Oryza sativa Japonica Group: one gene and its partners. Each later gene encodes a partner of the first gene's protein in a complex. Links are inferred from orthologs where the notes say so. Each region holds a gene or a part of one and is shown in the gene's direction. Other genes may lie near its edges. The genes, in order: sister chromatid cohesion 1 protein 4, sister chromatid cohesion 1 protein 2, sister chromatid cohesion 1 protein 1 and sister chromatid cohesion 1 protein 3.

What was found.
Region 2: sister chromatid cohesion 1 protein 4 (region 1) and sister chromatid cohesion 1 protein 2 share a complex: the UniProt entries of both Arabidopsis thaliana proteins name them as parts of the cohesin complex. The link is inferred for Oryza sativa Japonica Group from reciprocal best matches to the Arabidopsis thaliana genes SYN4 and SYN2.
Region 3: sister chromatid cohesion 1 protein 4 (region 1) and sister chromatid cohesion 1 protein 1 share a complex: the UniProt entries of both Arabidopsis thaliana proteins name them as parts of the cohesin complex. The link is inferred for Oryza sativa Japonica Group from reciprocal best matches to the Arabidopsis thaliana genes SYN4 and SYN1.
Region 4: sister chromatid cohesion 1 protein 4 (region 1) and sister chromatid cohesion 1 protein 3 share a complex: the UniProt entries of both Arabidopsis thaliana proteins name them as parts of the cohesin complex. The link is inferred for Oryza sativa Japonica Group from reciprocal best matches to the Arabidopsis thaliana genes SYN4 and SYN3.

The regions. Positions count from the first base shown.
Region 1 is NC_089035.1:39,655,673-39,662,062, reverse strand, and holds the end of sister chromatid cohesion 1 protein 4, read left to right. Parts: intron 1-100; coding exon 101-150; intron 151-548; coding exon 549-1,324; intron 1,325-1,417; coding exon 1,418-1,801; intron 1,802-1,882; coding exon 1,883-2,027; intron 2,028-2,294; coding exon 2,295-2,431; intron 2,432-2,607; coding exon 2,608-3,383; intron 3,384-3,542; coding exon 3,543-3,576; intron 3,577-4,121; coding exon 4,122-4,230; intron 4,231-4,319; coding exon 4,320-4,449; intron 4,450-4,731; coding exon 4,732-4,830; 3' UTR 4,831-5,203; downstream 5,204-6,390. UniProt on the Arabidopsis thaliana protein: Involved in sister chromatid and centromere cohesion during mitosis.
Region 2 is NC_089038.1:24,873,288-24,880,363, forward strand, and holds the start of sister chromatid cohesion 1 protein 2, read left to right. Parts: upstream 1-3,246; 5' UTR 3,247-3,475; coding exon 3,476-3,602; intron 3,603-4,398; coding exon 4,399-4,819; intron 4,820-4,905; coding exon 4,906-4,946; intron 4,947-5,021; coding exon 5,022-5,068; intron 5,069-6,243; coding exon 6,244-6,308; intron 6,309-6,386; coding exon 6,387-6,509; intron 6,510-6,597; coding exon 6,598-6,735; intron 6,736-6,858; coding exon 6,859-7,076. UniProt on the Arabidopsis thaliana protein: May be involved in sister chromatid cohesion during mitosis.
Region 3 is NC_089039.1:29,076,977-29,082,317, forward strand, and holds part of sister chromatid cohesion 1 protein 1, read left to right. Parts: intron 1-271; coding exon 272-368; intron 369-525; coding exon 526-607; intron 608-686; coding exon 687-765; intron 766-874; coding exon 875-1,038; intron 1,039-1,722; coding exon 1,723-1,766; intron 1,767-1,846; coding exon 1,847-2,002; intron 2,003-2,098; coding exon 2,099-2,267; intron 2,268-2,382; coding exon 2,383-2,450; intron 2,451-2,561; coding exon 2,562-2,709; intron 2,710-2,772; coding exon 2,773-2,860; intron 2,861-3,857; coding exon 3,858-3,985; intron 3,986-4,084; coding exon 4,085-4,169; intron 4,170-4,252; coding exon 4,253-4,365; intron 4,366-4,828; coding exon of another isoform or gene 4,829-4,845; exon of another isoform or gene 4,846-4,962; intron 4,963-5,080; coding exon 5,081-5,163; 3' UTR 5,164-5,341. UniProt on the Arabidopsis thaliana protein: Involved in chromosome condensation, pairing and segregation during meiosis. Responsible for cohesion between replicated sister chromatids.
Region 4 is NC_089042.1:10,218,560-10,224,444, forward strand, and holds the end of sister chromatid cohesion 1 protein 3, read left to right. Parts: intron 1-484; coding exon 485-746; intron 747-823; coding exon 824-870; intron 871-951; coding exon 952-983; intron 984-1,063; coding exon 1,064-1,131; intron 1,132-1,198; coding exon 1,199-1,590; intron 1,591-1,795; coding exon 1,796-1,994; intron 1,995-2,478; coding exon 2,479-2,621; intron 2,622-2,706; coding exon 2,707-3,394; intron 3,395-3,477; coding exon 3,478-3,610; intron 3,611-3,709; coding exon 3,710-3,808; 3' UTR 3,809-4,333; downstream 4,334-5,885. UniProt on the Arabidopsis thaliana protein: May be involved in sister chromatid cohesion during mitosis.

The DNA.
Region 1 (6,390 bases):
TGGTTGTTGTGTTATTGTGTCCTATCACTTGATAAACTGCAATTCCAAAACAAAACTTTGTATATCTTCAGCAGCTAAATTTTATTTGTTTCCCCCTCAGGAATTAATGCTGAACAAGGACCAGTCAATTCAACTTGAGGCTGATGATGGGTAAAATCACCTCTTCCACTTTTTTTTATAAAAAATAGCTATTCAAGTCCCTTGGAAATTTTATCTACACGTCTCTGCTCCCATATAAAGGGTCTTTGATCCTATCTAAAGGAGCCTTTGTGGGTTTTCACAGATGAGGTTAAGTTTCTCTAGGCAATTTTATGTTTTCCTATAACTTCTGACCTTATATTGTACACTTGGACTGAGTCTGAATCAACCCAGGGTCTAGTTACTACTTTCTCCTGATTTGAGTCCAGATGGCCATACTGGGGTGTGACACTGATATATTTGCTACACGTGTTGTGATTTTTTTCCATGACATTTGAAAGTGGCAGCATCTTGCATTTGCCTTTTTCTGTATTTTTACTTTATTTACATTGGTTTGTGCCTCTCTTCAGCATTATTATTCAAGGTCGATCAGCAGTTCATCCTACCGATATGGAAGTTGATGATAACCAAAATAAAGATGAAAGCGCTGAAGGATACAACATGGAGGATGGACCTTCCAGTCACAACAAACTAAATCCGTTAAGTGCAGATGGTCTAGTAGGAAACAGTCTTCCTAATTGGCATACATACAATGTGCAAACACCTGATCTGAATGATATGCTATTGAACAATGATGGGAATGCAGGACCATCAGCTTCATACTATCAACCTAGTCCCTTCCCTTGTGATGAGCCTGCATCACCAGAGTTTGTAAGTGCCCAGGCCCCGGCTACACCTGGCCTAATGGAAGAGACTGTTCCTTCCAGAGTGCATGAAAGTCCTGTTCTGAGTCCACAGCGAAAAGCTTCACCATCAAGCAATGATGAAACTGCAAAGACAGCTGAAAATGCTAATGATCTTGTGGGTGCTGAGACGACTGAACTTGCATTGACAAAGCCTGTGCAAATTGAATCTTCTGGTGCTGTACAGGAGATTGATTCCTTGAGTCAACAATGTGCAACTGAGGAATTGCCACCCCAAGCTGAAACCTCAAACTTGGAAGCTACCATGGACAAGTCAATGATAAATACTGATGGTGTAGCTGCATCAGGTGAAGCTACAGCTGCTAAAGAAACCACTGAAGTGTCATTGGTTGAAAATTCTTTAGAGCTATGCGCTGATGGTCCTACTGAACCTGTGATTGAGAACCAAACACAGTTTAATGATGGATCAGTTGATGTGCAAGGTAAATTGACTATTCGTTGATTTTGTTTTTAAAGTCATTGTATTTGATAAAAAAAAGGTGAAATCATCTGCTTTTTGATTATTTGTTTTGCAGGGGGCGGTCAGCATGCACCTCATGCTATCTTAGCAACTGCAGATTCCCAAGTGAATGTAGAAGCATCAACACAAGAAATGGCATCTAACGATATACCAAGTGACCTACCAACCTTGGAATTTCCAGAACGTGAGAAAATGCTGTCAGCTCCAGACGTTGAATTGTACCAGGCAAATGACTTGGGCCAGGTAACTGCAGAAAAGGGAACCACTGAATCTGATGGAAGTAACAAAGTAGGTAGTCTCACTAGCAGAAAAAGACACTTGGAGGACAGTTTGCCAGCTCTCGAAAGTGCAACTACTGAAAAATTGTCTAGCAGACCACGTGGTAAAAGAACCATTGATGGTATTCCTGATGATGATGATTTACTGGCGTCTATATTAGGTATGGATGAACCTCCTCAACAATAATTGTGCCTGGCTTTTGCTGCATTGTCTAACACTAACTGTGTGGACTTGTATTTAGTTGGTAGAAGGACCCCTGGACTGAGGCTTGATTCAACACCAATACCACCTAAGACGTCATCTTTGAAACGTCCAAGGTTGACGTCAAAGAGTACCACACCGAAGAGAAAAGTGCAAATGGATGATGCCATGGTTATACATGCTGAGTATGTATACGCCTCATAGCCTTCAAACAAGTTTGTTGAATGGAACTGTGTGACTGTTGTTCTTTAGTGTTATGTCCTTAAATTTCTGCCATCACTGTCTTCTGATGGGAAACAAATAGTATATTTTTTCCGTATATTCTTGTAAATTTTGTGCAGTATATACATTGAGTTGATTGGTCCATCTCTGGAAATCAGATTGCGGACTATTTTGCTGTCCAAATTATTTTCTGCTGTGATATTATTTACTGAGTTTCTTCCATTCTCCAGTACCATACGGCAGCAGTTGATCAGCACTGAGGATATAAGGCGCATTCGTAAAAAGGCTCCATGTACCCGTTCCGAAATATGGATGATCGAGAAAGGTTCCTTAGAAGATGATATATTCCATGAGCCCATCTTTTCCTGTAAGCTACTTAAATTGGTTTTTATTCTCTGCTTCCTCTTTACACATTTACTGTATGTTCAATTCAATTAGGAAAGAACTGAAACAGAAGTGAAATTAGTTTTGATATATGAGGATAATTAGTGGTTAGTTTTATGCTCTGAAATTCTACTGATGCATGTTTGTGTTCCCAACTAGGCATGTGCAAGGAGCTAAACGATTTGCAATATCGGACCTATGAGATTGTTGCTCATCCCACCATTCATAATATGGAAATACATGTACGGCTAGACATGTCCCAAACTATGGCAGATGGCAGCAATGATGTTGGCACCTCTGGCGCAAAGGACAGTGGAAATCACCAAGATCATGTAGTGCTACCAGATGGAGCTGAGTCAGATGCGATGCATCCTGAAGCAACTGATGCAGCAGATACTAGAACTGATTTTGATTCACACATGCCATCTGACAAACAGGTTAACAATGTTGAAGGAGTAACTGAACAATTAACTGATAATGAGAAAGAAACTGCAGTTGTTGAGAAAGCAACCACTAATATGGGTGACAGTGCTCAAGTTGATTCACTTGATAAGGAATATCTTCAAGATGTTCCAGCTGATCTGCAGAGGAGCACAAATACAAATACACCTCTGTTTGTGCTAGATGACATGCCTGGTCCAGATGTGGTTCTGGATAGCTCTGATCCAGTTTCTGCACAAGCAGTGGATGATATGAAAGGGGAGTTGAGTGACATTGTCCATGACAATGTCAATGCATTTGACAATAAGGATATGCCGACTTCTGAGATTACCGTACTGGAATTTACTCAAAACGCTTCTGGTTTTCCTCAGCCAACAGAGGATGAAAATGTTCTGTCCGCAATGGGTGAAAATTCTGGATTGCAAGAAAATCATGTAGGATCTGTTATGGATCTGGACAATATGGGGCATGACTTTTCACTAAAGGAATGCAGTGTAAGTCCATATAGAAGTTTCCACTTGTCTTCAGACACTTGTCAGATGACTTGTGTTTCTCTTAATTCCACAATGTAGCATGCTATACAGTACTTGCACTATTTTATTCAGTCGTTATTTGAAGTCCATGGCATAATTGGTATGCTGTTCACATTGCAGGATTTTGGCAGTGCGATTCAGGGTGTTGACACAGGTATTGCCTTTTGTTCTGATACATAAGTGTAAACTAGTGTAGTAGTGTTCTAATATAATGTGGATTATGTGTACAATGCTTTGTAGGTGCAGCAGAAAACTAGCTAAATACCCATGCACAGATTTTCTAATAAATATATCATCAGTTCGAAACTCAAAAAGTGAGCATATTTATCCTGAGAATCATATGTAATTTGCAAGACGCATATTACAATGTCAAAATAAAAACAATCTTATTACAAGACGCATGCTCAGATATTCTAATTATTCACAGAAGGGTCAGGCTGACTCAAGAAGTGGCGGTGGGATTTCAGACTCACCATAACCACCATTCCTAGGTTCTTTTGTATTAGTAGAAATAAACATGACATTAACCTTCATGACTAGTGCAATATCCGTTCTTAATTGTATTTTATATGCAAATTTTGTGATGGGAACTTCCACACGCCCGTATGTGACACTGGTGGATCTTACTGTTCTAGTGTTGCATCGCGAGAGGTTTATAAGTTTTATGACTTGTGTCATATTTGTACTCTACACTTTCAGATTTTCTGATGTATGATGATGAGGTGGACTGTGATGAGGCTAATGATGATGAGCCTAATCCTGAGGAATTCCAGTCTCTTGATAACAGTGGATGGTCTTCACGTACTAGGTACGATTGGATTTCGTGATAATATTCTCAGGGTTTAATGCTCAATATTTTTTTGAGTTCTATAATGAGTTGTTACAATTGCTCTTCAGGGGTGTTGCAAGATATCTCAAAACTTTATTTGATGAGGAATCTGGTCTGGGAAGAAAGAGTGTGGCCATTGATCATCTGTTAAGTGGAAAGACTAGGAAAGAAGCATCAAGGATGTTTTTTGAGACATTGGTAAGACGGTTATGCTTTTCTGTTTCTCCACTCAAGAAATGGAATACCTACCTTCAGCTCCAGTGTGATTGGAGGCACCTAGAATTGCATGATCAAGAATACGCCATTCATTTTATATTGCATGTTTCGATTAGCCATCTTCTCATTAGACAATCTTACTGGCATCAACCAATTTCTGTAGTCATTGTCAAACTAGACCTGCAATGGTAGCTTAAATTGTTTTCTCGAATCATTTCTGTTGACATTATCCTTGGTACTTATTGTGTTCTGTTCCATTCACAGGTTCTGACAACAAAGGACTTCATAAGTGTGGATCAACCAAACTCCTTTGATTTTGTCAGCGTTAAGCCAGGGCCAAAGCTCCTGAAGTCAGATTTCTAGATCAAAAACCAGCTAGCGTGGCGCGATACATACAATCTTACCATATCTGTCACATTACCAACAACATACAGATCTCGCATCGCCGTGACCGTCATTTTTGTTTTGTTCTTTTTAATTTATCCTCCCTCTGTAGTATCCCCGCACTAATCTGTGTTTACTAGGCTTCTTGGGTAGGATTCTGTTGTACCCCCCTCCGTGTTGGCTATTCAGTGTATATATGATTAGCTCTTGTAAAGTTGCTTGTGTAATGTGATAGCATCAGCTCCTAAGTCCCCGTCTATTGTTGCTTTGAATAAACCTTCAAACCTGTATACTTCTCTGACTTTGAGCAACCTGTCGATTAATTTCAAATTTATTCAGATTCGTAGGTCAATCGTGAGAAAAGAGATAACCTTTTTTTGTTTGTTTTGCCTGAAGTGGAGGGGAAAGGTTGCTCAAAATTCTGTATTGGTATTATATCATTACAACCACTCTGCTGGTGATCCGAGTCACCAGCATGAACGTCTGAGTGACCATTGAGCAATGTGGGGCGTGTGATTAAAGCAGCTTTGATCCCTTTCTAGCACATACGTAAAGTGACACGCTGCTGTGTGCTCTCGCTATTCGCAGAAAATGTAAAAGCATCAGCAAATGCAAGACAGAATTGGCAGAGAATAAGGTGTTTGGAAAATGGAAATTCTTGGAAGGATGACAAGTATTAATCGACGGCCAAAAGGACAGGGGAAAGCCGACCAGAAATGAAGAACGGAGCAGCGAATGTCGGTGCCGAAATTGTTTTTATCTGCACGGTTAGCACAGGGTTTTCGTGTCGCGCGTCTCACTAGCTCACTGCTCATGAAAGACTGAAGTGAAGCCTAGCAAGCATTGCCACCTGACGAGTGACGACCATACTTTGATCGATGGATGGATGTATGGGCGCCGCAAGGCAGTTTGTCCCATTGTCCGGCATTGCTGCCGATTCCTTTGCCTCGTGCGCGCGGCATCCTCCACCAACAACGTCCGCACGAATTCCACGCCCAAACACCGGCAATTCCCGTGCAAAATCACGCGACACATCTCCGCGAACTCAACGCCACGCACGCGCGCGGACGCAAAGCCGCGCGCGCGAGCCACGCCGTTGCCTTGCCACCACGGCGATTTTCATGGCGTCGTGCGCGCGAGATGCCGAGATCCGCCTCGCGTGCCCAGCGCCATCCTGTCGGCTACAGTACGCCGATCAGTGGAGTTCCCATGGGTTGATCAGACGGACGGCGAGCCCGTGCGTGAACAGTAGGGTGACAAGCCACACCCAGCCAGTCAGCCACACGAAGTGGCATATATCTCGAGCTATAGCCTGACCTGACCTGCTGTTTAGCTTGTTACTACCTGTAGCGCCTCGGCTCTCACCAAGCAAGTGTCGGTGCATTGTTTTTTTTTCCCTTCTTCCTCTCTCAAAATATAAGAGTTTTTATCCAGATGTGACATATCATAGCACAACGAATCTAGACAGAGATTATATCCCGATTTATTGTATTAGGATATGTCACATCTAATAAAAAAATCTTATATTTATAGACGGAA
Region 2 (7,076 bases), on another chromosome or scaffold:
AAGTGCTTGGAGAGTTATTTGAACTCACTACAGCTGTTGTCTGTGACACGTCTGCAGCTTAAGCTGTGGCTGCTTCAAGATAGGAAGCTTGATGGCCCTCAGCTTGTTGTACCTAAGTGACTAAATTTTGTGGAAGGTCTTCAAGAGAGTTCACCTGTTACTTTAGTGAACCATAGTGGTCACTGGTCAGTCTACTTATCCTATCCTGTCTATTAATATACATCATACTTCTGACTGATTGTGGGGACCGCTCGTCCATTTCTTTGGGATGGTTGAGGTGTAACGCCTTCTCTTAAATGACATTATCTTCATGAACAACATTTTAGTTTTCTCCCTACAACTTTTTCCCTCTTGACATTACCTGTAAACTTTGAAAACTAGTACATGGACACCTGAAATGGTACTGCGAACTTTAAACTACTAGTGGAGCGGGTTACTCACAAAACTACTTTAATCTGATTAGTTTTAGATGGGATCACACAACTTGAAAGGCAAGACTTCTACTGTTTTAGCTTGCTCTGCATAGTTTTAGCAGCTTGTGCTGCAATAGGGTGAGGGTTGCTCAACTGCGCAAATCCTCCCCTGATGCAAGACCACATTAACTTGGACAAGAATATGCTTTAAAATTTTAATCATATATGATGCTTGCATGACCCGCTTGAGTGATATTTGGGTCTCTTTTTGTAATCGTGCTTCTCTCTAACTTGTCTTCCCATGCCTTGCCGATATGAGTTTTGGGATATATCGATATCTGTTCATTGGTTTGATTATTCGTTGTCGTTATTTTGTTCTAACGTGGCCTCGAAGAGCCTCTATAATTCAGCCGGCATTGCCTGTTCGAATGGCCATCCGAGGCCTGTCTGCATTGCTATGGGGGTGGCAGCTGATTCTATGTACGAAAGAGGAAGCACACGCATGTATCATTTTGTCAAGTACTGTTGTGTAGTGCATTGTTCGCTATGTGTACTTTGTGTTTTTCTCTCCCCCTTTTGTACTTTCCTATATCAATGCTTGTAAACATGGAGGACTATTGCTTTACAGTAGTAGGTACTGAGCTAGTATTACATGTAAGTCTGTCTCATTTACAAGAGAGGAGAAGTTGCCGTGTGTGCAAATGCTCAAATTCGGCTCCAGGAAACCAAGAGCGTTCGCGAATCCGCAGACCGGGCACCGTTGCTGAGGTGAGTGAGCTGGTCATGTCCGTAGCCTACGTGTAAACCAAGTGATGGTCCTTGCTGGAAGGTGACGGGCGGTAATAAATAAACTATACCCCCTGGTCACTTTGATCGGTCGGTACGAGGAATGGTTATCCTTCGGGAAAGCACGACTGCATTCAGTAGCGGCCTCGGGTGAGCATCGGTGTCCGAGTTCTCTTCCTCGTCGATTTCATCCTCATCCGCGAGGTGAAATTACCTTCCAGGGTTCGGTTGCAAAATGTACATACGCAAACGGCTGGGATTTAATTTATTATTAAGAAAATAGATTCACTAGATGATTAGAGGTTATAATACCCGCTGTTCAAACTATGTGTGTATGTTCAACAACAATCGGAAAGGGCATGTGAACTAGTGGTGGAATAAGTGGATTGGGAACTTGATTTGTAATACAAATTATTTGTTTAGTTGCTATAAATAAAGAGAGGGGAGGGAATTCATGCTATTTGTTTCGTATGTGGATTTTGAGGTAGGGTGTGTTTAGTTCACGCTAAAATTGGAAGTTTGATTGAAATTTGAACGATGTGATGAAAAAGTTTATAAGTTTGTGTGTGTAGGGAAGTTTTGATGTGATAGAAAAGTTGAAAGTTTGAAGAAAAAGTTTAGAACTAAACTTGGCCGTACTAGAAAATTATTATCTCAATAGTTAGTCACTAGGGCTAAGCTCGAGCATTCCCTTCTTCCGTAGGAACTGATCGGACTCATGTTTCCTTCTCACCAATTACCCTCAATCTTGTGTTACTAAAATATTACGTGGATTTCTAATCTCTCTGTCTATCTACAGTAGTTAATACCTCCGTTCTAGAATATAAGCATTTTTAGAGTTGGACACGGTTATTAAGAAGTTAGAAGTAAATGATGGATGGTTGTGATTGAATGAATAGTGGAGGTAGGTGGGAAAAGTGAATAGTATAGGGTTATGATTGGTTGGGAAGAGAATGTTGGTGTAGAAATTGTTATATTTTAGGATAAATCTTGAGGGCTACAAGTTGTTATATTTTAGGATAGAGGGAGTAGTCAACATGTCTAGCTCGACCGCTCCTTTTATTTGCGATATTGATTCGCATCTTAATATGCTAAATCCATATTATGTTGTTTTAATCCACCAACATTTATGTTGATAAAACCAACTACACCTACCATATAAGTAGAAAACCAAGTAAAAGAATAATAAATGCAGCTTTACTACCTGATAAGAAATACCGTGGAAGTTGATAATAAATGCAGTAAGCAAATAAATTATATTATTTATACATTTGCAAGAGGTTGTAGGAGGCAGGGGGTTAGCCACTTTGTAGGTGGATTTTACCTTATTTTTCTCTGTACAAATAACACATTGTGATATCTCTGGTAACTACTATCTTCTGATCCTATAATCCACTATGCTTATAAAAAAGTGTGAAGTTTGTAATGGCAGAGACGTATTAACTTGATTTTTTTTGAAGTGGTGTATTAAGATGACAACAATCTTATCTCTCAACAGTAGAGATTTAATCAACTTTTTGCTTATTATGCCGTTGTCACGGGATATTTTCCATCATATAATTCTCTCATTGTCATTCAAAAAGGAGAAAGGAGTAACAGAAATAAATCCAAAACAAATCAGAAAAAGGCAAATTTCCAACTTAGGCTATACAAATTAAACGGCAACCTCCATTTTTGCAAGATATTGTTCACAATCACTTACCTCCCTTTTATAGTATATAGTCTCCCACAACGGTATAAATTTATCCCTTCTAGAAAAACCAACAGCACAAATCCAAAACAAATCACCAAAAAAGAAGCAAATTCCCATCCTTACACACGCCTGCAACCTCCACACAAAAACGGAAACTTTTTTCAAACACGCGAAACCACCGGAGGAGGAGTTGTGAAAATACTCTCAAAACGGAGCAAATTACCAACGTTCAATTCTCAAAACGCGAGGGCATCTCCGCCATTTCGCCCATCGCCCCAACCGTTTCTCCTTCTCCTCCTTCCCCTTGAAGCCTCTCCTCTTCTTCCTCCTCCTCCTCTGCTCTCCCTTCGCCTCGCCTCGCCTCTCCTCCAAGAGCGCAACCGTAAAAAAAGAAAAAGAAAAAAAAAACCCGAGGCGGCGAGCTCTCGGGCTGCTTCCGGCTCCGTCCGTAGCGGCGAGGAGGGGGCGGAGGGCCATTGGCGCGGCGGCCCGCGCGAGGCGCGCTTGCATTGTTGGTGGCGGCGGCGGGGGGTCGACGGGGTGGAGGGCGTGTTTTTTTGTTGGCTTGGGGTGGAGGCGGGGGATGTCTTGCTCGAAGGTGCTTCTGTCGAAGAAGGGGGTGCTGGGGACGGTGTGGGTGGCGGCGGTCAGCGGCGTGGCGGCGCTCAGCCGGGACCAGGTGGTTCGCACCAACGTCGTCGCCTGCGTCGGTAAGCGATGCGATGCCCACTCCTCGGCCTCAGCGCGCGCGCGCGAGAGAGAGAAAAAAGTGCGTATTTTTCGTGGGTTTTTATGTCGAATTTGCGGTCTAGGTGGGAGGCAGTGGAACAGTGTGGGAGGCGGTGTGCGGAAGAGGGGTTTATCCGGGGCTTTAGGTTATAGAAATGAAGCGAATCATGTGATGAGAATCTGGTAAAAAAAGAAGAAGAAAGGGAATGGAATTTGAGAGGAGTTGTTTGCTGTCATGGCCTCGGTACCCTTCTATACTGTATTGTGGTAATCGTTGTGGCAATTTGATTTTCCATGTGAAATCTCGAGGTGAAAGGAAAAGGTAGCACCTTGGGTGTAATAACATGGACCTGTGGGTATGGGTTTTTGGATGGTGAAGAGTTTTGTACTTTGTAGATGGCATCGGTTTGGGGTTTGGGGTTTAGGGTCATTGTACGACGACGGTTCTACGTATGGTTCTATTAATAAGGCCCAAGCATATACCCAAGATTCGGGCGCCAACTAGGAATACCTTGTAATCCCTAAATTTAATAGCATTGAACAAATCTAGTAGTCCTGTAAATATTGTTTGGTCTGACTCGTAACGGAAATACAGGTGTCAAAAGTGTGGAACTAATAAGAAGGGAAATGCTATATCCAAAGCATATGAAACAAATTAGAACAGTAAATGCGGGTTGTGACATTTTATAACGCTTTCCTTTTCTAGATCGATTTATTTTTAGCATTCTTTCCCTAATATGCTCGTAACGCTTGCACATTTCCTCTTTCCCCTGGCAGATAAGATTTTGCCTGATGACAACGACAAAACCACATACAGAGTATTGGGACTGCTTCTGCTTGGCATTGTTAGGATTTATTCCAAGAAAGTGGAATACCTCTGCCATGAATGCAATGAGCTTCTTGGATCATATGGATCAGCACATTGCAATGAACTAAGTATCCCAACTGGAGGAGCAACAAATAGAGTTTCAAAGCAAGCGAAGAAACCTGTTCGCGCAAGAAGATTAGTTGTAAGACAAGAAGGTGCTTACAAGGTAAAAATACCTATGCAAGCTGTGCGAACAACTAGAGCAGAAACAAGAGCTACTTCACAGATAACTGAAGTTCGAGACACACATGCTACACCTGATCTTCCAACTTTCACAATACCCAAAAGATTTGAGCTTGACTCTTTTGATTTGGGGATTCCTGAAGATAGGTAACAGGTTTTGGTCCTATACTAGTTTTATTAGCTTGTTGCTTAAAATTGTGGTTTCTGATCTATTTTTAAAACTTTCTTTGTAGGGATGATGATGACGTGGATCATCACCAATTGCCACATCAAGGTAGAACTGCTGTGATTGATGTTTTTACCACTGCTAAGAAACCATTTTATTTACGTTCTGCATTCTTTTGTATAGGTACCATGTTGGAAGATGAGAATCACCATACATCCTGTTTGTTTGAGGTACACTGCTCTCTCCTGTATTGTCCACACCACTTACCGACACATGCATGCACAAAAAAAAAAACTTGATCAAGGGGTAGGACGTCGTCGTTGACTTAGCTTTAAAGAAGGTGCCCACTGAAACCTTGTGCAGCGATGTGGACAGAACTGTGGCACCCAGGATTTGAGCCCTGGGTGGGCGTCACCTTACTGGGTGCTCTACCACTGAGCTACACACTCCATCCAACACATGCATGCATACACGAGCTGTATTTAGTAACATCTGAAATGAAGAAATGGAAAAACTAACTAATGGTATGCATACTAGATAAGAAACACCTGGTATTGCTAAGCATTGATATAGGGTGGCCAGGTGAATGTGTTATCCAGTGATCCCAAAGTGAGGTAGGCTCCCAGGTAGCCGAAAGTACTACTCCCTCCATCCCAATGGTAGGTATTTCTAGCGTTCAAATTTGTCCCAAAATGTAGCTAATTCTCCACCTACCTCGTCATTTGAACCAAGCACAGCCATATCCCGTTAAATTTCTGCACCTACTTTCTCTTCTCAACCGATCACAACCTTCCACCATTCAACCGCACCTATTTTCTTAATTCCCGTGAAAACCTCTAGAACTGCTTACATTTTGGGACAAAGTACTGATTAGGCAAGCACTGTAGTTTTTGAAAAAAAAAAGGACTCGAGTCCGCTAATGCTTTGACTGGCATATACCAAGTCTGTGAATACCAGTGTGATGCTGGCTGCAGTCCTGTACCTTGTGCTAATTATTCTGTTCAACAATTTAGAGAACTGCTACAGGTGCCACTTGTCAGTTGCTGAGGGGTTTAGGGGGTTAGTTCTGTAATTGTCTTATTTTTTTTAGAAAATGAAGGAGAGCTGCGCTTCATTTCATTAAGAAAAAACAAACCACCCATACAACCAAGGGCTCACGAGCCCTTCACACATCTACAAACAGCACCACACAAGGTGATACACGACCAAAAAATCACCCTACAACAGCCTAGTGCCCTTGGGTTAGCGAATTACACCCAGGTTTTCATTTTTTCCCGTGTTATTTATAAATAATACCACATAATTGCTACTCCTTTATTAATTATTATCCAATAACCATGTCTTCCTTTTGTTTCGTATATTATCTGTTTGGGAAACTAAAGCCTTATTTTGGTCCAATGAACAGTCTTATAAGATGATGACATGCTCATACGCTGATCTAGACTCTGCCTGCATTATGCCAGTACGCGTGTAAGTATAGAGATTACTGTCTCAATGATGCTAAAAAAGATTATCTGTACCGAATTTCTGAATGAAGCTTCAATGCAGCACTATCCCAACTGAAATGATGAGTGTCATTAGTGAAGTCAACAGTCTACTATGCTTGAGTAGCATTGGGGGTGAACCTGAAAATCACAATGCTGAATCTGCTTGCTTTACACCAGTGAAGGAGTAAGTATATATGGTGTCACATTTCTCTCTTTACAGTGCGCATACTTTTCCTCTGTTGCCGATGACCTTTTTTTTTTTTCTGGAACAGTATTCTTCCACCTGAGATGGTGGATATGATGGCTGAAGTAAATGATCCTTCAGATAAAAGCACAAGGGGGAAAAAACCTCAAAGAGAATTGAATAGGGATGAGAATGGGAATTCTGCTTGCCACATCCCTTTGTCAGGGTAAGTAAATGTTACTTTTGTGGTTTTACCATATTATGATTTTAATGTCACATCAATTTTTTTTTACTTAAACATTTTTGTGAAAAAATAGTGCATTGATGCTGACCATATTTATTGGTACAGAAGTAAGGAAGTGCAAATACCTGAAAATATTGTGGAGAATGTGACTTTTCCAAGTCGTGATGCAAATTGTCCCACAATTGAAGAATCAGAAAATGGGTCACTGCATGGAACTAACACAAATCCATCATGTGATGGTTTTGAGGAACCCGGGTCTCTTGAACAACCAACTTTGCGCTGTAAGACAAAGCTAATCAATGAGCTGTCACCTTCCACTCCGG
Region 3 (5,341 bases), on another chromosome or scaffold:
TGTGGCTGTGCCATCATCCCCTTGATCCCTTCGGAACTATGTTCGATAGTTACTGCAATGTTCACGTGATGTTGATACCTGTACTGTTGCAATGAGTTTAACCCTCTTGGAGTCCTGGATAGTTCCTCTGAATGATTGTATCCCAAGGGTCTTTTCAACTTACTTTTGTAAATAGCATAGAGTGGGTATAAGTTGGTGGATGGAGAATGATATTTTGTACCAAGAGTAAAACAGTAATGGTTTGCTCATCTAAACTTGGGGCTTCATGCAGGTATGAAGCAGTAACACTGCCAGAGAATATCATGGATATGGATGTGGAGCAGCCCATGCTTTTCTCAGAGGCTGATACTACAAGGTTCCGGGGAATGGTAATCCCTGTAATATGTATATTTCGGTGGTGTCTGATTGTATGCATTGAAAGATGGCATTAAGTTATGAGCAATAACCACGAGATAGTCTTGCTTTCAGTCTCCTGACTTTTGCCAGATTGTCTCTATTCCTCTGAAATCCGTCATGCATGTGCAGCGTTTGGAGGATTTGGATGACCAATACATTAATGTCAACCTAGACGATGATGACTTCTCGCGCGCTGAGAATCATCACCAAGGTTTTCATTTCTTTTCTTATGAATTACTCTTTGTGGTTGCTTAAGAGGTGTACTTTCTGACTGAAATATGTTATCTCAGCTGATGCAGAAAATATCACCCTGGCTGATAATTTCGGGTCTGGGCTTGGAGAGACTGATGTGTTCAATCGTTTTGAGAGGTGAAGCAAAATTTTATTCTTCTCTTATTCTACCATTCATTTTTTGCACTTCTTGTTCCTTATTTTGGCCAGTACAATTATTCATTGAGCAATGTTACAATGTCACCAGATTCGACATAACAGATGATGATGCAACTTTCAATGTCACTCCTGATGGACACCCACAGGTTCCAAGTAATCTGGTTCCTTCTCCACCTAGGCAGGAAGACTCTCCTCAGCAACAAGAAAACCATCATGCTGCCTCATCCCCTCTTCACGAAGAAGCTCAACAAGGTCAATTCAAGCACATGGTTTGGTCTATTTGATCCTAAATTTGGAAAGGGTACTATCATCCTGTAAATCGGGATTTTTTTTCCAGTTTCCATGCCAAAAGACAACAATTCTCATCTCTGTTTTTTAGCATGCCACAGATGCAAATGATATTTCAAACAAGTAAAACTTCCATCCAAATATATCTCAGTGAATTTATGATTTGATGTAGTTTCTTCAGGGATATGAACTTGATGGTTATGTCAATATCTCTTAACAGCTAGATATTCTATCTTATCATATACTCTGCTATATTATGTTGGTTAAGAAGCTAAAAGTTCACTCATCATCTCCTGTTGCCTTTCTACATTTCCAACGGTTGGATTTTCGCGAGGCTAGGTAGAGATGCTGAGCGATTGCCATTGAATTTGCTACATGTTATGTCATTGAATTTGGCTTTTGTCAACGGGATAATAAAACACATTGTGTAACTTGTCACCATTCACACTAGTTTACTGACTGAAATTCAATTTATATTATATTTGAATCTTTTCTACTTGCTAAACAAGACTTGCATATAGCCTCTTCCTCGTGACTATCTGTACTTCAGTTTGCTATATCTGATATAAGTGCTGGACATGGTTTGGGTACATTAATATGTGCCATAGTGCAAGTGCCTTGTTGCAATTACTGACAACTTTTCTGCAGGGGGGGCATCTGTAAAAAATGAGCAAGAGCAGCAGAAGATGAAGGTTTGTGATCAAGCGAGCCGTTAGCTTCAGGAACATCTAGATGAAGAAGATAATTGTTTTGTTTGATATTGTTTAACCAGGGTCAGCAACCTGCTAAATCATCAAAGAGAAAAAAACGTAGGAAAGATGATGAGGTGATGATGGATAACGACCAGATAATGATCCCAGGAAATGTATATCAAACATGGCTGAAGGATCCATCAAGCCTCATTACCAAAAGGCACAGAATCAACAGTGTATGTAATTGCTTTGATTACCTAATTCTGTGTAGAGTTTTGTAACTATGCAGAATTTTGTGAACATATCTGATGTTTTGCCGTGTAATATTGCAGAAAGTTAATCTTATTCGGTCAATCAAGATAAGAGACCTCATGGACTTGCCCCTCGTTTCTCTAATATCTTCCTTGGAGAAGTCACCCTTAGAATTTTATTATCCTAAGGAACTTATGCAGCTTTGGAAGGAATGTACTGAAGTCAAGTCCCCAAAAGCTCCATCTTCAGGTTACTACACAATTTGTAGTTTTCTTTCACCTTTCTGGATCACCAAGGGAACTGTAAGTTTTTTATAATTTAATCTGCTAAGTTCGAACTGAAAAGGTTGCAATCTTTTTTAAAGGAGGGCAGCAGTCATCATCACCAGAACAACAGCAAAGAAACTTGCCTCCTCAGGCATTTCCAACCCAGGTTATTTCTAAATTTATATGTTTATGGAAATGATTTATGCTAGCTTTTCCTATTGAGCTGTAACATTTACATTCATTCTTGAACTTGTCTGATAAGTGGTTCAATTTGCAGCCTCAGGTTGATAATGACAGGGAAATGGGATTTCACCCAGTGGACTTTGCAGATGACATCGAAAAACTCCGAGGAAACACTAGTGGGGAATATGGAAGAGATTATGATGCTTTTCACAGTGATCATAGTGTTACTCCTGGAAGTCCTGGTAAGTACAAAAAACAATATATTTTATTTATTTAGACACTGAATGACATCAGTCCTGCTGCAGGGCTAAGTCGCAGGTCTGCTTCAAGCTCTGGTGGCTCTGGACGGGGATTTACGCAGTTGGATCCAGAAGTACAGTTGCCATCCGGAAGGTGAGTGTTGATTAATAGCAACCTTCACTAGTTTTCTGAAATATGACTTGTTCCTGGAATAAATAAAAAGTTATCCGTGCAAACTTTTGAAGATGCATGTCTTTATACTGGAGCCTCTTTGGTTTATGTTCCAAAGCATCGAAGTGGTTAGTTGTCTTATTGATGAAGTGTTAGGCAAGAAGAAAAGGAAACGGAGATTGTTACCCCCCCCCTCCAGCGGTAACCGCTGAAAACCACGTGAAATTCGTCCTCAAATATTTGAATTAAAAATCGGCGGTTTTGCGTTTTCGGCACAGTAACCGCGATATTCGCGCGGTTACTGCCAATTGTGTAGCAGAATAGAAACACTCTTAAAAAAGTTTAAAAAAGCACTTAAATGTGTGTAGAAATTGGGGATAATTAGAAGAATATATAGGATACTTGCAAACCTAACTTTTGGGTGTAAAATACAAAAATTCTGCATGACATTTTCTATGTTATGGACTTCGAAGCAATTCAACATTTCGTAGCATAATAATTCAACAACAACAATTCAACAACCTCACATTTGAAAGCATGTGCCGAGAGAGAGCGATAGAGATAGATGAGAGGACCTAGGAGATATTTTTCCCACTTATGGGACTTAATGGGCCAGATAAACAGTGCAACTGTGCAACCTAAGGTCCATTACATTTTTCTTTTTTCCATTTTCTAATGAACATTCGGTTTTACCCTCAAATTTGAATTTATCTTACTCTTTTTCAAAAAATTTCTTCACTGTCTACCACTACAAATCAAGAAGTTTTTTTATTTGTTTGGAATTTTGAATTTGGGCAAAATTTATCAAACCCTACCACCGGTAACCCTTACTGTACCCCCGCGGTAAGCGCGGTTACCGGTGGTAAGGGAAACCCTGGTCTAGGCTACTTGACTATCAACTATCAAGTGGCAGCTTCCTATCTATGGTCCTTCTATTTTCATAGAGGTCTTAGTACAACTGCGTGAGGTCATTGAACAGGTCCAAGAGGCAGCATTCATCTGGAAAAAGCTTTGGGAACCTCGATCCAGTTGAAGAAGAATTCCCATTCGAGCAAGAACTTAGAGATTTCAAGATGAGAAGGCTTTCAGATGTTGGGCCAACTCCAGGTTGACTTCTTTTCAGTCCTTATTTCAAATGATTCTATACAAAAGTGTGGAAATTTATTTCCCCGTCATCATACCGATTAACTTTTAATTTGGTCACAGACCTGCTGGAAGAAATCGAACCTACTCAAACCCCATATGAAAAGAAATCCAATCCTATCGACCAGGTCACACAATCAATCCACTCGTAAGTATTCAACTATACATTATGTTTGTTCCACAGATTACAGTAGATGTATACTCTGTGATCATCAAACTAAATCCATCCAGGTACCTCAAGCTACACTTTGACACCCCAGGGGCCTCACAGTCTGAATCATTAAGTCAGCTAGCACATGGGATGACTACAGCAAAGGCTGCCCGACTCTTCTATCAAGCATGCGGTATGAGTTCTATAATCCCAATGCGAGTCAACAGATGATGCAATCGCTAGAGTAAACATAATGTTAACATTTCATTTGCTGGTTTGATGGTTATTTATAATTTCCGTAAGTTCATTTCAACACTTGATAAGCCATGTGTACTTCCTTTCCATATTGCAACTTTGCAATGAAATATTCCAACCATTGTTTCAAGTTATGATATCACCGAAACCTTTTAGGCTCATTACGTTTTTCCCAGGCTTCTCTCATTACATTGACCAAGTAAATATAATAAGTTCACTTTATTAGTTCATGTAGTGTTAAGGGAGGAAAACAAATGTGCAATAGCACTATTTCCTGAGTTGGATAAGTGGGCAACACCTAGTTTGCTTAGCCATAGACAGATGTTGGAAAATCTTGAAGAAGTACCTTGGAAATTCAATCGTACATCATTGTGGCTATGTATTTTTTGTTTCTTTTTCAGATTGTAGCCATGTTTGATGGACGAGTTAGTGATTTTAACTATGTCAATAATGGTTATGTTTCTTTTCTCCCTCGATGAGAGAGGATGAGGGCCTAACACCATGTGTGGGCAAGATCGGTGTTCACAAAAGTTTGGTTAGTGTTTTATATTCTTAGCTTTACTGTTTAGCGTGGCAGTTTGATGTTTTTAGGTGCTTGTATGTGTTATTATTGGTTCAGTACTTGTATTTACTGAGGACCCTTTGTTCTGCAGTTTTAGCAACTCATGATTTTATCAAGGTTAACCAGCTGGAACCATACGGAGACATCTTGATCTCGAGGGGACCAAAGATGTGACATCCTAAATGTTTAATAGTTGGACAATTTTCTGCTGTTGTGGTTCTTGCACATCTCGTGTTATGTATGGTGTTTAAGTTTGCACATGAAGTTTAGAAAAACTTCGAAGGAAGGCTTGTAGGTACGTTGTATTGGGGCATGTATTTAACACTAGTTTTGTGTAGGAAAGAAATTTTGT
Region 4 (5,885 bases), on another chromosome or scaffold:
TTTTTTGACTGGAAGTAAAACAACTGGATTAATATTGCATATTTGGGCATAGATGTCTATACTCTATGGGAAGTTTTTTTTATTCTCTTTGGGAGGAAAGTGTGACAATTTTTTTTATTTCAACTTCGAACTGTGCTTTGCAAGAACTTGTATTATAATGGCATGCTGAATAGGTCACATTTTTCTGCAGGTCGCTTACCCTTGGCAATTAGTTTGTGTTTGCTTAGTGAGGTCATGTGTCGCCCTTAGGTGTTGTGCACGTGAGCGTGTTCTTGGGTGTGTTTGTCAGTTTAACCTCCTCTTTTTCTATCTATTTTCTTCTTAAAGAAATGAAGTTCAGTCCTCCCGCATTTTTGAGAAAAATAGGTTACATATTTTCCTTAGTTAAGTATTGAACAATTTTCTCATATACATTGAATTTTCCCTATGCTTTACTCTGCAACCTAATGCCATGTCTTCTAATGCATGAGTTTTATTTTTTCAGAATTTATCATGTTCCCTGAAGTTCCAATTGCTCTGAGGTTGTCAGGGCATCTTCTTCTAGGTCTAGTTCGCATTTATTCATGGAAGGTAAACTACCTCTTCCATGACTGTAACCGGATGCTAAGCACAATCAGAACCGCCTTCGCTTCTGTACAAGTAGATCTGCCCCTTCATGCGGATCATGCGCCTTTTGACACCATCACATTGCCTGATACATTCCGTCTTGATGACATAAACCTAGATGATGCAATTCGTCTGATAGAGTGAGTACTTTTCTTCTCATATATTTTCTCCGCGTCATACAACCTCAACTAATATTATTGTGTTAACTTTCTGACAGTACGCCAGATAATCATCGGAAGAGTCTGGACCAGATCACCCTGGCTGGTATACGAAGTTCAATTAGTCAATATATGTATTATTATCATTCCAATGCGGATGCTTAATGATTTCATTTTGGTGCTGCAGAAGGAGACTATCTGATGATTGATCTTGATGAGGTATTCCTCACTGACTTGCGCTTTTTGCAGGCTTGTTTAGTTTGCATGTTTTTTAATATTTGTGCTTATAAATTGTGTAGGATGCTAGAGTAGAGCTATCAGCTCCTGGACAATCTTCACACATGGGACCTGAACCAACTGACGAAGAGTACGTGTCATGTTTTTTTTCCTTCTAATTTCTATTTTGGTGGACTCATGTCCGCTTTGCTTATCAGGAGATTGCCTCCATTTCACATCGATTTTGGGCCAAGTGACAATATGGATGAGGAAATTTCCGTAGATCCTTCCCAAGGCAACAACTCGGAGGCAGTGAACACCAGTAACATAAATCAGGCAGATAAAGCACCAGATTTACCTGAAATAATGCGTGAAGCACCATTTGAGGGCCCTGAACTTAACTTGCCAGATATTGATGAGGTAAACAATGATCCCATGGATGTGACTGAGGAATCTTCACCATTTGTGTCCAAGAATATCACCCCTCCGGCACTGGAACGAACTATATCCCCTGGTCAAGGTGGATTATCTGGGACATCCATTCCCAATGCACGAGGAAGTACAAGCACCACATATGACAATATAGAAGATGTTATACCAATGGATATTGGTTAGTATTTTGCTTGTTGACTCATCTTGTTCTTTCCAGTTTTGTTTTCTGCCTTCATTTTTTCATAAGACCTAATAGAAATAAGACTACATTGCAATTCCACCAGCATTACTTATGTGGGATGCTAGAATGTTGTGTAAAATGTACTTTCCCTTGATGTTAAACATGTCTTCTCATCCAAGTTCTTTTCCTTCTGTGATTTTAGGAATGCCTGATTTTAGGATTGAACCATCTCCACCTCGAGTACAAGATGAGATGAATGCACAACCAGTACAAGGTGAGATAAACGCACAACCAGTACAAGATGAGATGAACGCACAACCAGTACAAGATGAGATGAATGCACACCCAGCACAAGATAAGAGGAGAATTAGATATGACAATGAAATAGTGTTCTCCAATGCGTAAGTTCGACTTTACAAATTATCTTCTTAAGCAAAGTTCATTGGTGGAAATAACCTCAAATTAAATATTATATGTTTACCAGGACTTCGATGAATTTTTGAAATTCATATTGTACTATGTCTTGCCTGGGCGTTTTGTTTAAAATCTACCAAATGACATCTTCATTTCTACCATGTCCTGTCTCCTCTGATCCTATTACTCTGTCCCCTCACCTACACCACCCTTCGAATATTGTTTTTCTAAACAGCTTATCTATAAATAGAATAATTCTATGTGTGCTGTTATCAACCGGTAATTAACTCGTCTAATAATTTTGATATATTTGTATGGGATTTGTTCTGTTCAAAAATACAAGTCAGGCTATGAACTTTTTACCATCGTAGTGCTAGGTGTGATGGGGATTAATTGCAACAACAGTATGATATCTGGTGGTACTATACTGTATTAGTTACAAATGATAAGACCTCATACTCTCTTGCACAGTTATATGAAGAGACAAATTGATGGCGGTGAACTACATCGTCTGGTCAGCAAGAGGAGGAAACTGCCTCAAGCAGCGGTGGATGTGTGGAAATTCAACAGGATTCGCCAAAAGGATGGTTTCTTGCTTGATCCTTTGGTCCATGGTAAGCTACCATACTCTCTGATTCCACTAGTGATGGTCCTTTCACTTCTGAAACAATGTCAGCTCAAATTTGCTCTTCCTTTCAGGGATGTGCGCTACCCTACGTCAAACCTACGAGAGAACCTTCCCCCATGTGATTGACCCTGAAGCTGAGTCAGGATCTGTCGAGCATACTCCTGGGGTAGCTAATGACAGTATTCAGGATACACATGATCATCAACTCTCCCCGAAGTCTCCTGGAAACACAGATGCACAACCTGAACATCAGTTCAATCAACAAGCTCCAAGAAATTCAGATGGACAACCTGAACCTGAGCTTAACCCAAAGTCTCCTGTAAATGCAGAGGCACAACCTGAATCTCAGATTAATCCACAATCTCCAAGAAATGCGGATGGACAGCCTGAACCTGAGCTCAACCCAAAGTCTCCAGGCGAAGCAGGCACGTCACACTTTGATGATATGCCTGAGATCCCTCGATTCTCGCCACAAAATATTCCATCTCCAATAAGAGACGACAATTCTCCTTTCAAAACTCCTGGTGCTGGTGGAACTCCGAAATCAAGACTTGGAGAAACTCCTGCCTCTGGGACACCAGCAGATATGAGTTACATGTCACCTGGACAAGACTCTGATCCTCAAGTTTCTCCTTTTCCATTTAATGATGAACTTGATGGAGATTTGCCCGAGATTCCTAGCCTCATGAGTACTCCTGGAGTAATATCTACCGCAGGTACTGGCACCACAGGATTGGGAAGCATGTCTGCTAGGACAAGGTATGGGATAAGTTCCAATAGACGATTTCATTATATGTTACCATTTGAGTGTGAATTCTGACATGTTTCATACTGCATTGTAGGGCTGTGGCACAGTACTTCAAAGATCAAATGGCTTCGGCTACATCAGATGACCAACCTGGTAAATTTATCTTGAACAGAATCTTGGAAGGGAGACACAGGAAACAAGCTGCACGCATGTTTTTTGAAACACTGGTACCATTTAAACTGCAAGTTACATTTCCCTTTTGGACATAATTTGTAGTCACTTTCCACACTATGTCTTGACATATCGTATGTTTGTTCTTTCTGTAGGTTCTAAAGAGTTATGATTATATTGATGTTGAACAAGAAGCAGCCTATGGTGATATAGCAGTTTCAGTTAAACCCTCACTCTCAGGAGCCAAATTTTGACCAATTCAGTTGCTTAGAACCACATATAATCTCATTTGATCCGCGGGAAGGAGCTTTGGTGGGATTTGCAGAAATGGCCTGAACAATGGATTCTTATATGCGACATGGCTGGCTAATCTACTGCAATTTGCTGGACTCCAATTACTAGAACAAGTAGGCACTCCATGCCATTTAGGTTTATGTTGCAGAATACTGTAGTTGTAAAGCTGTAGCATTAGTAGTTGTCGAAAGCCAATACATCTTGTCCAGTTAGGACTTCAGATGGTAGTCCTTGCCTATGCTTTCTTGGCAGAAAGCAAAGTGAACAAGGAATCAGATGAAGATAAGAATTTTTCTTACTTTTGCTGTTTAATTACATGGTAGTGATATGTTAAATACAAGTCGAAAAATGTTGGATGACTAGCATAAGACAATTTTATAAATGTCAGTGTACATAGTCTGATATCTTCAGTGTGCCAGAGCGCAGAGTCTGTTCAGAAAATTTTCATGCAATATGTGTTCTGCAATGCACCATTATTTGTTGTATTTGTCTGAAGTTTACCTTGCATGATTTTATTACTTCAATGAGATCCAAAATTAACTGTCCTTCAATGGCAAGGATCACCCTTGCCCATTATCAATCATACAATGGAACCAAACATACATTTTTCTTTCCATTTTCATCATTTGTTTTAATTTTTACTTGGTAATAAATTTTAAAATTAAAATGAAGGTTTTGAGAAGTTTACTCCTTTTGGGTTTACCCCAGTGCAAACTTAAGGTCAAGCCAAATGGCCCCTTAATAACCTTATATTATACGTGTCATTAATTTGCTTCGGAGGTTAAAGATAGATCTGATTATGAGACTACATGTTAATTAAACACTCTATCTTTAGCTTCAGTATTATTTTGATATGAATATAGAATAAACATATTTATTATTCTTAATTGAATATATTCATATGTTCTTCCTCCACATACATATGGCATTTCTAGCTCAACAAATTTTATATTTGTGATTTCTTAGTATCTATTCAATCTCCTTTTTAATGATATATATGATCTTCCAACAAATCCATGATTTACTGATCTATGTTCATTTTGTATCAAGATTTTATCAATTGAGCATGCACACACACATGGATGTTGGGACCTATTCCTTTGCACAACTCAAAGGAAGACATTAGTCCTAATAAATCGTTTGTCATCCTCCACTTGATGACCAACCGGTTGCCTATGAAAGATATGAATGTTTATTGAGTATTCATTAACACCACAAGTATCATATACTTGCATGCAAGCTTAAGTGCAAAGATCCAATATAAATAATAGGTGAACAACATGTATCTAGAACATGCACAATAAATGTATAAGATTTGCTCTCCCTAAATATATTCATACAAAGAAATATATAAGAGAGGCAAGTGTATGCACAAGTAGAGAAGAACCAATGGGGTTTATCCTATACACATGGAGAAGGTATGTAGCAATGATAAAGACAAACATAAACACATACCTTTATCATCTCCATGTTCTTAATGTAAAGAACACTAAATAAGAAAATGCTCAAGTAAACATTAGTCTCGCACTTATATAACAATAACATGGAAATCATATATATGAATCTATCAAAAAGTATGAGATAAGAAGTGATACATATCGCTTTATCTCCATGCATTTCATCTTTGTCATGATTAAGATCCACCACCAAAGAATGCATATCTACCACATCTCATCATCGGGGAAAAACTTCTCATCATTTTCACTTTCATATACAAATAAGACTTATTGTTTTTATTTCCATATCACAATGAGACTAAAAAAAACTCATAGGAACATTAGTCTCTATCGGTGATATGGGCCCGGGGGTACCCAGACTATGAAGAAGGGCCTGCCCTTGGTGGCCACGTGGCCTTCCCCCAAGGGGGTTCGGCCCGAGGCAAGGCGGCAGCCGTTCCTCACACACCCCGGGGTCGGGTCACCCCGACCCCCACTGCGCGGCGCCACGTGTGCCGCGCCAGACGGGCGCTCCTAGTGCCCACCTAACCGCACTTAAGGCGGTCTGAGCGAGCGCTCCGCACGCAGCATTTATTGCGGC